3 linked regions of the Schizosaccharomyces pombe genome follow. The protein of the gene in region 3 binds, or shares a complex with, the protein of the main gene of each other region. Each region holds a gene or a part of one and is shown on either strand. Other genes may lie near its edges.

The links. Proteins that work in one complex are often made in the same cells at the same time.
Region 1: tif313 (region 3) and int6 share a complex: the UniProt entries of both Schizosaccharomyces pombe proteins name them as parts of the eukaryotic translation initiation factor 3 (eIF-3) complex.
Region 2: tif313 (region 3) and tif301 share a complex: the UniProt entries of both Schizosaccharomyces pombe proteins name them as parts of the eukaryotic translation initiation factor 3 (eIF-3) complex.

What each region holds. Positions count from the first base shown.
Region 1 is NC_003423.3:938,037-942,100, forward strand, and holds int6 (translation initiation factor), read right to left. Parts: upstream 2,273-4,064; 5' UTR 2,226-2,272; coding exon 2,192-2,225; intron 2,136-2,191; coding exon 664-2,135; 3' UTR 585-663; downstream 1-584. Other genes in the region: oss1 (oxysterol binding protein), read right to left, coding at 1-55; U3 snoRNP protein Nop56, read right to left, coding at 2,789-4,064. UniProt on the Schizosaccharomyces pombe protein: Component of the eukaryotic translation initiation factor 3 (eIF-3) complex, which is involved in protein synthesis of a specialized repertoire of mRNAs and, together with other initiation factors, stimulates binding of mRNA and methionyl-tRNAi to the 40S ribosome.
Region 2 is NC_003423.3:3,312,689-3,318,036, forward strand, and holds tif301 (translation initiation factor eIF3a), read left to right. Parts: upstream 1-1,642; 5' UTR 1,643-1,649; coding exon 1,650-1,688; intron 1,689-1,733; coding exon 1,734-4,493; 3' UTR 4,494-4,764; downstream 4,765-5,348. Other genes in the region: histone acetyltransferase complex subunit Nto1, read right to left, coding at 1-192; DNA primase large subunit Spp2, read left to right, coding at 5,095-5,260, 5,319-5,348. UniProt on the Schizosaccharomyces pombe protein: RNA-binding component of the eukaryotic translation initiation factor 3 (eIF-3) complex, which is involved in protein synthesis of a specialized repertoire of mRNAs and, together with other initiation factors, stimulates binding of mRNA and methionyl-tRNAi to the 40S ribosome.
Region 3 is NC_003424.3:384,428-388,508, reverse strand, and holds tif313 (translation initiation factor eIF3m), read right to left. Parts: upstream 2,227-4,081; 5' UTR 2,166-2,226; coding exon 2,115-2,165; exon of another isoform or gene 2,052-2,114; coding exon 1,895-2,051; intron 1,724-1,894; coding exon 723-1,723; 3' UTR 653-722; downstream 1-652. Other genes in the region: methyltransferase complex regulatory subunit Trm112, read right to left, coding at 1-57, 94-109; rsm19 (mitochondrial 37S ribosomal protein uS19m), read left to right, coding at 2,360-2,402, 2,466-2,571, 2,622-2,754; pre-ribosomal protein Loc1, read right to left, coding at 3,289-3,384, 3,449-3,523, 3,919-4,029. UniProt on the Schizosaccharomyces pombe protein: Component of the eukaryotic translation initiation factor 3 (eIF-3) complex, which is involved in protein synthesis of a specialized repertoire of mRNAs and, together with other initiation factors, stimulates binding of mRNA and methionyl-tRNAi to the 40S ribosome.

The DNA of each region.
Region 1 (4,064 bases), on a different chromosome or scaffold from region 3:
TTTCAACTTGAATAGGTTCATTTTCTTTTTTTATTGCTTGATTAGGATTTGGCATCTTTAGGTCCTGGTCCTACTACTGACCAAAAATCTATTCTTTTCAAGAGATATCTTTGCGTTGATAAATGTTGGTGGCACGGAAACGGATGCTGTCTCAAGCTTTCGTGGTGTACTGGTTTGATATGAAATTTAAACACCAAACTTACATATTAGTTGTAGCGAGTCTTTCGATTAAATTACGGTAATACCGTTGCAGCATCGTTTATTTATCTATCAATTAGGGAAATTTAATTTAATGCAATTGGATTAGTATTATTACAGCAATTTAATATATACATAAGTTAATTCCACCGACACATTTTCTACATGTTGAGATAGCGGCATTAATACTTTTGCATTAATTATTTATTTTTTATGCACTTCAGAAAATAAAAAAATTTTAGATAATATATATTTTTTTAATATCCCCGCATGTTTCAAATTTCCAAAATTAATATACTAATAGCGATATTCAATGAGCACGTTTCTTTAAATAGGAAAGTACACAGTCATCTTCTACAATAACGAGTTGTTTGAAAATACAAAATTAGCGAATTAATTAAACTCCTATGTTTTATTTTTAATGTATGAAATATATTCCACCTTTAAACTATTTGCTAATCTTGTCTAAACAGTAGCATGCTTTAACTCCGAAATGCTTTTAGCAAGAGATTGCTCCAAGTTTTGACTTTCAAAACTTAATGACTTTGTACGGTCTATAATCTGTTGGAAAGCTGAATAAGTAGGGTGTTCAATTATTATTGATTCACCGTCCAACTTAGCTTTAAACCCAAATTGTACCTCGGGTTCGGGCTCTTCGGCTTCAGTAGCAGTTTCGGCTTCCGTGATTAAATCATCAGCAACAACATTTGTAGAGGTAGATTCAATACTTTCATCTTCAGTACTTTGATCGGCAGCTACATTAGAAGCTGCGGCAACTGAAGGATTATTACGGTTTTCAACAAGTTGTATTAATTGAGCACTGTCCATTTCCAGCTTGTTAGCAAGCACATCAACACTTATGACACTGTGAATACGGCAATATGCCTCAGCAAGTAATTTGCGAGCACCTTCCAAAAAGTGATCGCACAAAGATACGAGAAAAAAGTCGGTTTTCAAAACCTCTTCACATTCTCTGAGGCAATGCTGAGCTTTTTCAAAGTCGACCTCAGTATACAAAGCAGAAATAAAAGAGGTCACAGGATCGCTGTATTCATAGTTTTCTTGGCTAATGATGCGTACGAGATCTCGCATCCTTCTTTGATAAGATTGCCTAGGGTTACGAGGTTTTTGATTTGCATTATTTTGGTTAGTAACAACAGCGACAGTCAAATATCTTAATAGCCAGGGACAAGAGGTTTGGATGGTGTTGAGATAAGGAGTATAGAAGAACAAATCACAAAGAGTATCACAACCATTTGCATGATTAAACAAAGGAAACAAGGACCAGTGGAGGAGCCAAGTTCGATTTCTCAATTGAACAGCAGAATCTTTAAAGCTTTTGGAGTCCACCATTTCGCGAAGTTTTCCCAATTCCTCCATAGCCCCATCCCAATCAACAGTCAAAATTTCAGAAGCAAATTTACCCCAGGTCGCGGAGGCGTTTAATTCAGGGTCTTTACTGAAGGCACGAAAATGATAAAGTAAATCTGATGCACCACCGTAGTTTCCACAATTATATTGAAATTGAGCAAACTTGTAAAGAACAGCTATACGTTCAGGGGTAATGTTGTAATGTTCTTGTAGGTGTTGTAAATTTTGACCTTTATCTTGACGAAGAGCTGCAATCAAGTCAGGATTTTCTAAGACACCTAAAATTCCTTGAACCTCTTCTTCAAGTTCAGAGAGCTCTTGCAAAACACTGCGTCGCTTTTCAGCAAAAGCATTTGCCATGTCCTCGTCGGTATGACCCCCATGAAGATTAGTCCACAAGTTGGCCACATAATCAGTCATATTGGTATCTTTAAGCAAATCATACTTAGCTTGTAAAAGCTCCTTTGGATCATGAGTCTGTCTTAAAGATAAAAATTCCAATAGAGGAAAAATGAGATGGCGGTCAAGGTGTTGCATAATTTTTTGCGACAAATCATACTTGACCGCTATAAAGGTTAGAAAACATTCTCCTGTATTTAAAAATAAATCTAAATTAGCTTACCTAAAGGGCTTGTACTCTTAAGCTCGGATCCCATATCTGATATGTTTCACGCAAAAAAAAAGTGCGTGGTGTGGGGAGGATAGCACAACTCACCCAAAACTCTAGTAGTAGCCCCCTTAGACTACAGTACTGAAAAGCAATATGACAATAGTAGGTCAGCAATGTTCGTACAAAAAATATTAAATTCCTTAATGATATTTTTGCTTTTTTTAACCAATAGTTTTTCATAAAACTAATTAAGCTCGAACTTACTACCAGCTAATGTAAATCAATGTGTAAGACAAATTTTTATCCGATTCTTGATCTTTACTTAAATTGTAATTATTGTCAAATACTGGTTTCTAATATTTTTTTAACTTTCGATATAAATAGCACTTCTTATACGAATAATACATAAATGCTACTTAATAAAATGTAAATGCTTACTAAGAGATAAGTTTTACACGTCCATCCATCAAAATGATAAGCTCGATATCAATCGATTTAGTAATATTACAGTATTTACGCCCATAATCTATAGCAAATTTTTCAATTACAAGTTGTTCTAAATATGCAAGAGCAATATGGTCCCCGTTATATCCTAATAAAAATAACGTCTCAATGGCTCTTCTTTTTCTTCTTACTTTTCTTGACTTCTTCTGATGCATCATCGGCAGAACGCTTTTTCTTAGACTTCTCCTTTTTCTTCTCCTTCTTGTCTTTCTTTTCTTTCTTGCTCGGCTTTTCTGAAATGGTTTCAACAGTCTCTTCAACGTCAATGTCAACCTCCTCGTCTCCGTCTATGTTAACACTCGATAATGCCTTTTCATAAGCTTCTGCCATTGCAATACTATTGCGAGTAGGGGCGACACCGGTATCGAAAAAGTTGAGACGTTCCTCGACTTGTCGACGAAGAACTTGACCAAATGCCGTAGTTGGGGCATCGCTAAAGTTATCAATACGGCTAGCAATAGAACATTTGTTAGCCAAGAAACGAGAGATGCGGCCTTTGTTTTTAGCGCCAGCTTTTCCAATAAAACTAGAATGGTAAATAATACCGTATTTAGGCGTGTTTCCACGGGTTTTCAGAGCACGGAACAAAGCCTTTTCAGCACCTAGAATCTGTACCGTAGAAGCCGGGCATTTTGACAAGTTAGTTAGACTTCCGGCATGAGAAATCAAACGAGCACCAACCATCTCACCAATTAATTCAGCAAGATTGGGAGCAACAACATTCATCTTCTGAACCAAATAGTTATGTAGCTGTTTACGATAATTACTAAGTTTAATAACACGTTCAGCAAAAGATAGAATATTCTCGAGGTCAATTTCAGAGATATCTTGTCCCATAGACACTTTACCAGCGTTGATTATACTTTGAGCAATATCTTTGTCATCGTCTACAACGGCTGCCAGATCATGAAGCATTTCGTCGTTAATGGTGGTTTTATCACCAACCAGTGTAACAATAACAGCGTATTTGTAATTGTCTCCAACGATCTTCGAAAGCTCAGGGAAATGCCAAGAATACCACTCTTTCATGCGCATAGCGAAAGTATTAATGTCCTTGTCAAGTTGATCAAGGATAGCAATAGCTTGGATAATCATGTTGTCATTTCTGTTAACATTGAACTTCACTTTTGCGCGAGAGTATGAATGTCCTAAACCAAGCTGAGCCCTTTCGAAATCACCGGGTGATAGTTGCTTGAGAAGTTTATCACCATGAAAACGAATACCACGGAGAAGATCCTGGGTAAGCTCAGAAGTGTCACATTCAATGGCATCAATTTCGGATTTAATAGACGTTGCTAAATTTTTGTCTTGGACTCCCAGAGACACCTTTTTCTTCTTTGAGGCTTTCGGCAAATTGAGTTCCAAAAAGTTTTTCAAAAAA
Region 2 (5,348 bases), on a different chromosome or scaffold from region 3:
GGATTTATAGGTTACTAAAGAATCACGAAGGCCTGCATATTGTGTATGGTCACCTTCTAATATTTCCAAAGGTTCGTCTATTTGTAGGTCTGGATGGAAAGATTTATAGGGAATCTCTTCTCTCGGCTGAAAAGCAAGTTCATCGGGTCTTAGAATATTTCGACCAGTAGAAGTAAGTCGGAAGGTTTGCATGAAAGCCTTTTACAAGATAGATTTACCATACTATCTTTTTTACATTTCTTTCATGGTGTAACTATATTTACGAGAAAAAGGTGCAATTTTGCTTAAACTTCAATAGTGCATTCTGCCGCTGATGATTAAGCAGAATAAGCGGGGGTAACGTGAATGACCGAAATAAAAAGATGATTGTAAACAGTTGAACTCTGAAATGAAAATAGTTTGGACATAGGAAGGGGTAAATTTATTCTTCCCGTTCTTTCTCTTTTTATATTTATTGGTGTTGTTTTCAAAGAAAACCAGAGGAAATTGGAAAGCGTGATTTTGCATTTTACGGAAATGTAAGAGTTACAATTATATACAGTTGATGTGAAAGTACAAAGATTTTCGAGATGCTTGATAAAAAGCCCTTTCAAGAATCTTTGTGAATAGTTTATAAGCTAATATTTTTGTACCCGCCATCAACGAATACTTCACTTAGTTTATTCTTCTAGAAGTCTAACATTTACACCAATCACAATTAAATTGCTTCATCAAAATGGGCCTCTAGAGTTTACCTAGCGTCGAAGAGATTGAGGACTTAGCGTTTTTTAACAAAAAAATCTTTCGGAATACATAGGGTTATGACCTCTTTATTATAATACTTTGACAAACTATATTCGCTAAATCTTTCTTCCTTTATTCAAGCTTTGAGTAAAAGTAATGCGAGTTTCTGCTACTTTTCAAGGATAACACTTTAAATTTTAGATTGGCTCGGAAAATATTTCGCTCAAACCACACTTCTTTCACTGGTAAGGTCTCAACGTTTATATAAGTTTGTTGCCAATTGTAAATAAGAGTTTAGACAATGCTACAAGTATAAAACAATGCATAAGCCCTGATGAGGAACTCAAGCGAGTATCGACTCAACGGCAATAAAGATTATTTTAAGAACTAACTAGTTTTATCACCAAATACATCAAACAAAGAATGGACTTGGTGATTAGCGTAGAAACAGATCTACGGCTAAAATTCCAAAACTATAACGGTACTAATATTTCTTGGATGTACATTGTGTAACGATAGTAATTAGTAGCGGCAACAGAAAAATCTGACTACTATCCCATAAACGTTCAAATAAAAGCAAAAATAGAGCTTTCCTCTGTTCTAAACTGAACTGGTATTTTTTAAACAAACATGATAGATTAACGAGTATGTTAGCACTTCACACTAGGCGATCTATTCAAATTTAGTCATATTATCGTATTCGGTAAACCACTAATTTCTTTGCACAAAAAGTGATGCTTATTCAAGTCAAACCTAAGAAAGATATGAACAACTAACTATATATATATGCATGTGCTAACATTTTTTTTTGCAAAATCAAGAATTAAGTACCTCTTGTTTAGTGGCTTATATAAAACTGCGAGGTAGCTCGCTATTCGTGTAATAAAATTTTACTACGACAAGGGGGAAGTTTTCAACTGCACAACATGGCACCTCCTCAAGGAAAGCCCGAAAATGTGCTAAGGGTATGTATTATGAGTTTTTTACTTACTTTGACTAACATAAATTAGCTTGCCGATGAGCTGATAGCTCTAGATCAGCACAGCTCAGCACTGCAATCTCTTCATGAGACTATAGTTTTGAAAAGATCAAGAAACGCGCAGGGGTTTTCTCTCGAGCCTATTATGATGCGTTTCATCGAACTTTGTGTTCATTTACGCAAAGGAAAAATTGCAAAGGAAGGCTTGTACACCTACAAGAACGCAGTTCAAAACACCTCAGTTACCGCTATTGAGAATGTAGTCAAGCATTTTATTGAACTTGCTAATAAAAGAGTTCAAGAAGCTCAGGAGAAGGCAGACAAGATATCAGTTGAATATGTTGACGATCTTGAGGCTACTGAAACTCCCGAGAGCATCATGATGTCTTTGGTTTCGGGAGACCTTTCCAAGAGCCGCACAGACCGTGCTTTGGTCACTCCATGGTTGAAATTTTTGTGGGATGCTTATCGTACAGTTCTTGATATTTTGCGTAATAATGCTCGTTTAGAAGTAATGTATCAGTTAATTGCTAACTCTGCATTCCAATTTTGCCTCAAGTATCAGCGTAAAACCGAATTTCGCCGTCTATGTGAACTCCTTCGGTCCCATCTTGGCAATGCTTCTAAATTTTCAAACGCTCCACACTCTATTAACTTGAATGATGCTGAAACTATGCAGCGTCATCTGGACATGCGTTTCTCTCAGCTAAACGTTGCTGTTGAGCTTGAACTCTGGCAGGAAGCTTTCCGATCCATTGAAGACATTCACAGCTTGCTTACGTTCTCTAAGAGGGCTCCTGCTGCAGTCATGCTTGGCAATTATTACCGTAAATTGATTAAAATCTTTTTGGTTTGTGATAATTATTTGCTTCATGCTGCAGCTTGGAATAGGTACTTCACATTTACAAATGTGCAAAAACCCGCTACTGCTAATTTTGTAATTTTAAGCGCTCTCTCTATCCCTATTATTGATGCCAACAAATTATCGGGCCCTTCCATTGAGGCAGAAGATGCCAAGAGCAAGAATGCTCGTTTGGCTCTTTTGTTAAACTTATCGAAAACACCTACGCGTGAAACATTAATTAAGGATGCCATTTCTCGTGGCGTTCTTTCTTTCTGTGATCAGGCTATCCGTGATTTGTACCAGATTTTGGAAGTTGAGTTTCATCCATTGAGCATTTGCAAAAAACTTCAGCCTATCATCAAAAGATTGGCAGAAAGTAATGATACTGCTCAATACATTCGTCCTTTACAACAGGTTATTCTTACTCGTCTTTTCCAACAACTGTCTCAAGTTTATGATTCCATTTCATTGAAATATGTTATGGACCTTGCTACATTCGAGGAGCCTTACGATTTTAACCCTGGTCAAATTGAGAAATTCATTATGAATGGTAACAAGAAAGGTGCATTTTCTATTCGTTTGAACCATATTGAAAATTCCATTAGCTTTTCTTCTGACTTGTTTTCTAATCCCATTAAGTCTTCGGATTCTGTTTCTCTTCAATCTACTCCATCTGAATTAATTACATCTCAACTTACGCGGATTGCCAAATCCCTTTCTAGTGTTTTGATGCGTTTTGATACCGATTTCTGCCTTTTACGCAAGCAACAAGCCGAGGCTGCCTACGAAAGGGCTCAGGCTGGTGTTGAACAGGAGCGTAAAGCGGTCATTGCTCAGCGTAGTCTTCTCGAATTACGTCGTGGACAGGCTGATACACTTGCTACTCAACGTGAAGCTGAGCTTGCTGCTCAACGCGCTCTCAAACAAAAGCAAGAATCTGAAGCCGAGTCTCTCCGCGTTCAAGAAGAAATTAATAAACGTAATGCTGAAAGGATTCGTCGTGAGAAGGAAGCTATTCGCATTAACGAAGCTAAAAAGTTGGCCGAGGAGCTCAAAGCTAAGGGTGGATTGGAAGTCAATGCCGAAGACTTGGAGCATTTGGATGCTGATAAATTGAGAGCTATGCAAATCGAACAAGTCGAAAAGCAAAATAAGAGTATGAACGAACGTTTGCGTGTTATTGGAAAGCGTATCGACCATTTGGAACGTGCTTATCGTCGTGAAGCTATCCCATTGTGGGAAGAAGACGCAAAACAACAAGCCGAACATGACCGCGAAATCTTTTACGAGAGGGAGAAACAACGCAAGGAAGTACAAGAGCGTAAGCATGAACAAGCCATTAAAGACAAAAAGGCTTTTGCTCAATTTGCTTCCTATATTCATGCCTATAAGCAAAATATTGACGATGAACGTGATAAAGCATATCAGGAGGCATACGCCAAAGCTAAAAATGTCATTGATGCAGAGCGCGAAAGGCAACGTAAAGAAATTTTCGAACAAAAATTGGCTGAGGCTATTCGCGAAGCTGAAGAGGAGGCTGCTCGTGCTGCTGAGGAAGAGGCAAACCGTGAGCTTCATGAGCAAGAAGAAGCTCAAAAACGTGCTATCGAGGAAAGAACTCGTGCAGCTAGAGAAGCTAAAGAACGCGAACAGCGCGAAATGGCTGAGAAATTGGAACGCCAAAGACGTATTCAGCAAGAGCGTGATGAAGAAATATCTCGTAAGCTTGCCGAGAAAGCAGCTGCTAGAAGAGCAAATATTGGCGCATCTTCACCTAGTCCTGGTGCTTGGAGGCGCGGCGGTGCTAGTGCTGGCGGTGTTTCACGAGACTCTCCAAGGTATTCTCGTGGTGGCTACTCTCGTGGTTCTGTTCCTCCTCGTGAGACCCTTGCTCCTTCTAAGGGAGCATATGTTCCACCAAGCAGACGTAATCAACAACAACAGTAGTAAACCTACTGTCTATAAGAAAATAAACCTGTCGACAATTAATTATTGTCGCAATTGGATATTGGAGTCAAGTCTTTACGATGCATTATCTAATGTCACAGCTGATAAATTTAAATGAACTAATGTGTTCTCCTATTGAAAGTTGTAAGTTCCTTTTTCTTACAAGGGTAGTTGGTTACTTTCATGCTATTGGAATTCATGAAAGCGGTTATGTGTATAAAAAGAGCCTTTTGTAGCTCTATTTAATAGATAATTATCGTTAACCTTTGAACTTTTTTTAATTTGTATAATACTGCTTAAAGCTTGACTTGTTAATTGTAAATGTAGAACGATACTAATCGAATAAAGATGTTACATGTCAAGTTTATAAGCGACGATGAGTTTTTACAGTTGACGTTTCTGTAGTATGCATTTCTCATTTCAATAATTCTGAATACAACGAGTGAAGAAATAATTCATTAATTATTAGCAACGTGTTTTGTATTAGTACCAAAAAGGTTAAGCAGCTTAAAATATTTGTTTAAAGACACTCAAAGTAAAAAGGTTTCTTGGTGAGAGGCACGACAATTTGTTACCGCAAATAGACTCTTCGCTAACCACCATGTTCAGAACGACCAAAAGTCGAGTAGTTGAAAAGAATCAAAATTTTTCTAGTGCTAGTTTTGAGAGTTTAAGTTATCCTACGCGACTTAATTTTTATAAGAAACCTCCTGTCTCTGAAATAAGCATTGAAGAGTTTGAAACATGGGCAATAGACCGATTAGTTGGTATGCTTTCCATTTTCTTTATTATTTTCTATTCTTTTGGAGTAAGCTAACTATTTAGTTTTGGGTGAAATTGAGTCAGCAATGCTCC
Region 3 (4,081 bases):
ACGGGAATGCCTCAGGAGAGCTTGTGCATTTTTTATTAGAACAGTTTAAGAAGTTTGCTATTCATTAGATAAACTGACTTGTGAAGTTCGTACCTGTTAGTAGCTTCATTCTTTTGCTTTCAAGTATTTAAGAAGTTGAATAATTTATTTACAGCCGCTTTTGTATTTCAAAAGAAAATATAAAGATTTCTAATATAAATACTATCAAGTCGTCGAAAACTCTTAAATTTGCCAGTAGCTATGGTACAAAAATTTTTTAAGTAACGTCAGGTAAGCAACACTTGATATATGTATGTTAAGTCAAAGTTATTTATGCGTTAGGAAAAACGAATGTTGACAGATTTGTTAGATATAAACAAAAGATTTAATAAAGCTAATCATTTTGCAAAATTAGGAGTCAATCTTCTTTCCTTTTTTAAAATCTCAATTTTACGTAACAGTTGTAGGTTACTTTTTTAGTTAGTGTACAAAAAATTCTTTAAGTTGACGACAGAAATAATTAGGGAAGTCTCTTGGTTAAAAAGAGTCTTGCACGGATACATCCATAATTACAAAGAAAGTGATTGCTGCTTTGAACTTCTTCGCTTTTGGTCTGCTATTTATTAGTGTACTGCAACCTAAAATTTATAAGAAAATCTTTAGTCTAAAGTCCACGTAATTGAAGGTAACTCTAATACAGGTGAAACTTAATGATCAGAATCCTATTTTATTTTTCTAATGAACTATTCAGAGGCTGTGACCGCGGATCCGTCTCTATTTCCCTTTTTGCTAGAGGCTATAGTAAAGCTAGATAAAGGTTGCTCCATTACTTGTAGCATGTAACGTAAACTTGAACCCCATTTAGCTAATTTTTCGTGTAAAGCAACCCATTCGTGCTTACCAAAGACACGATAGCTGCTACGGTGAATGGATAACGTTTTAGTCAACTGAGACATGCGGCCTTCAACAAGTCCAGCACGAATAACATCAATGATCCATAATTCTACTTCATTTTCATCAATCTTCAAACTCTTGGCTACATCACCATAGGATAATGTATTATTGGGAGCCTGGGTAGCTAATGAAGCAATAGTTAAAAGTTTCATCTTACGTGCAATTGCATCTTCATCAAATTTTTGGTGTTGGCAATGAGCATGGTTTTCGGCAACCCAACTTACATAATCGTCGGTCATCCCGCCGGACAAAATACCAAGTAACTGTAAAGTACTTTGTTCAAGCTGCTGAACGGGTGGAAGGGTGACAATATCATCAAAGAAAAAGTACTTAGGGCTGTTAACAGCGCGTTGAACTAATTCGCGAACCGCCTCGTCAGCAGTTGAGTTGTCCATTTTTACGGCTTCCAAAAGGAAAGCAAATGATTGCTCATCATCGTATGATTGAATAGCTTTAGAAACAAAAATATTAAATGCCCGATGGTCCGATACACTGACACCAGCTTCTTTAAGCCAGTCAGGGAAGTATTTCAAATTAGGTGCAAGAGTGCTAAACAAGGAATAACGGGTAGTGAGAGTAACAACACTAGTAAGAATGCTTAAACGTGCGTGTTGACGTTCTTTGACGGCCGTATTAAATAAAATGCTTAAGACACTGAGTATGGCAGGAGTGAGATTGTTGTTTTGATCGGCAATCTGCTCTAAGGCTTGGCAAAATTTAGAAACATGATCTTCGAAAGCAGCAGATTCTTGGATAAGATTAATAAAGACGGCTAAAATAGGCTCGAGTTCTGTTTCGTGTTAGTAATAGCATGGAAGAGAAAATAAGCGAAAACTTGGAAAGCTGCAAACCAAACACATCAGCTCATAGTATACTTTCAGAACTAACAATATAACAAATGCCCTTTAGCACTTATTAAAATAATTCTTTAATTTCCTAGCCTAAAACTATTTTGCATTACCTTTCTCAGGTGCTTGTGCCAACAATGGCAAGCGAGTCAGAAACAGATTAAGAACTTCTTTAACATTTTCAGAAGCCAAATATTCTCGGCAAAGAGCAAGTACATTTTTATCGGTATTAGCCTCAAGATTATCCAAATACATAGCCAATTCTTCCACCTTTTGAAATTTCGTTAGTTGAAAAAAGTTTTACCAAAAATCGCCGAGTCATTAGCGACATACCTGTTCCTCTACGGAAGAGTCAACTACCAAAATAAAATCAGAGCCTTCCATCTCTGTTATTAATACGAATCTAGCAGACGAGAAATGCAAATATTCGCTGTTAGTGGTAGTTGGAGAGTAGGACTTGGCACCTCCACCTCGTTCAATGGTTAAAACGAAGTGGAAGTAACAACACCAGGTTGCTACCTCACATTTATTAACGATTGCTGCATTAGCAATTAACTAGCTTTCTAACATTTCACCTCATGTTTTGGACTAGTGTAGCCAGAGCTCGGTCAGTCTGGAAAGGTAAATGAATATAAATATACTTGTTTTGAAAATAATTTAGAACCTGTTATTCTGACATTATAGGACCCAACGTGGTCGATTTCGGTGTCAACGTTCAGCAATGTATTAAAGGAAACGTTCCTATAAAAACAGCTGTGCGATCTGCAACTATTTTACCTAGAATGGTTGGGTATGATACTCGTATTTAGCAAGTGTGGACGTTAACTAACTAAATTCTAGTGCTCAATTTATGGTTCATAATGGTAAATCATATGCCAATGTAAAAATTACAGAAGATATGATCGGGCATAAATTAGGTGAATTTGCACCTACCAGAAAAGCATTTCATTACAGACAAACTAAAAATCGGTAATTATTTTGGATTCTTGGCGAAAACTGGGCTATATGGCCTATTCAAAACACTTTTCACATGGATTCATAACTACCAAGAATTTCAAGTCTGCCTCAAAATTTCAATTCGTGACTTTAAATGGAGCTACCATATTAGTATTTTGTAGGACATTTCCTGTAAGAAAGCGAATATATAATTCGCCGAATCTTTTCATTACTTTCAGGCTTTTAATGACAGCACTTCTTCCAATGGATGTACTTGCACGTATAAATGTATGTATGAAAAAGTGATATGATGTTGCATAATTTTCTGTCAATGTTTTACAAAAGAATTTTGCATTCCCCTACTTGGATTTTTTATTTTTAAATTTGAAACGCAATGGCTTATGTGTTTAATGTTATTGGTTGTACTTATTTAGTAGTCTGTATAATGAATAATTAACAGCATCGAAAAACCGAATGAACCCGATATCCCAAAAGAAAATGAAAAATTAATAATTGAAAGGCAATACGAAAAAAAGGATCTTTGGAAGTGTCGTTATAACAATTGAATAACTCATTTCTTTTCGTTTTTCCGACCCGTCTTTTTATCAGCTTTGTTATTGCTGATTTTTCTGTCAGATTGTTTAGAAAAGACGGCTTCGCGCTCGTGCTAACGTAAATAGTTAGTAAATTGACTGAAACTTGAAATCAAAATAATTCATGGAAATACTTACAGCCACTTGAAGTTTAGATTTTATTTTATCGTCAAGCTCATAAGTAACTTGATTGAGAATATTTTGAAGGTCATCCTGTAACAGCAATTAGTTAATGAACAATGAATGTGGAAAATGAATAAATAGATGAAGGAATGCCCATCAATTAAAATCAAAAAGTAAAAAAACAAACAAACCAAATCAGATCAAAAATTAGATTACATGACTCAAAAAGCGCAGCAAGTTCACTTAAAACCTTATTTGTCGGATCTGGTGGTAAAGAGGAACGAATGCGGAAGAATAGGGTTCAGGGCCTTGAAAGTTTATAAACAAGATTTGTAGGATTTATATAGAGAGATATTTATCATCGTAACATCTACCACACTGACTTGAGATTTTTGTTGTTTAATGTTTTTGAATATTACTTGTTGAGTAAATGGAAGCATTTTCAACATCTATAATGAAAGAACATGGATGTGAGAATGAATTACCTTAGTTTCAGCAAATATTTTCCCCTTCTTCTTCCCCTTTTTCTGAATCTTAGTTTGGGGATTTTTAGAAGTGTTTAGCTTGGGAAGGTCCAAATCCTCCACGCGAATTTGCTACAAAAAGAAAAAGTTAGAAAAAAGGGTTCGATTTTACCAGTAAAAGTAA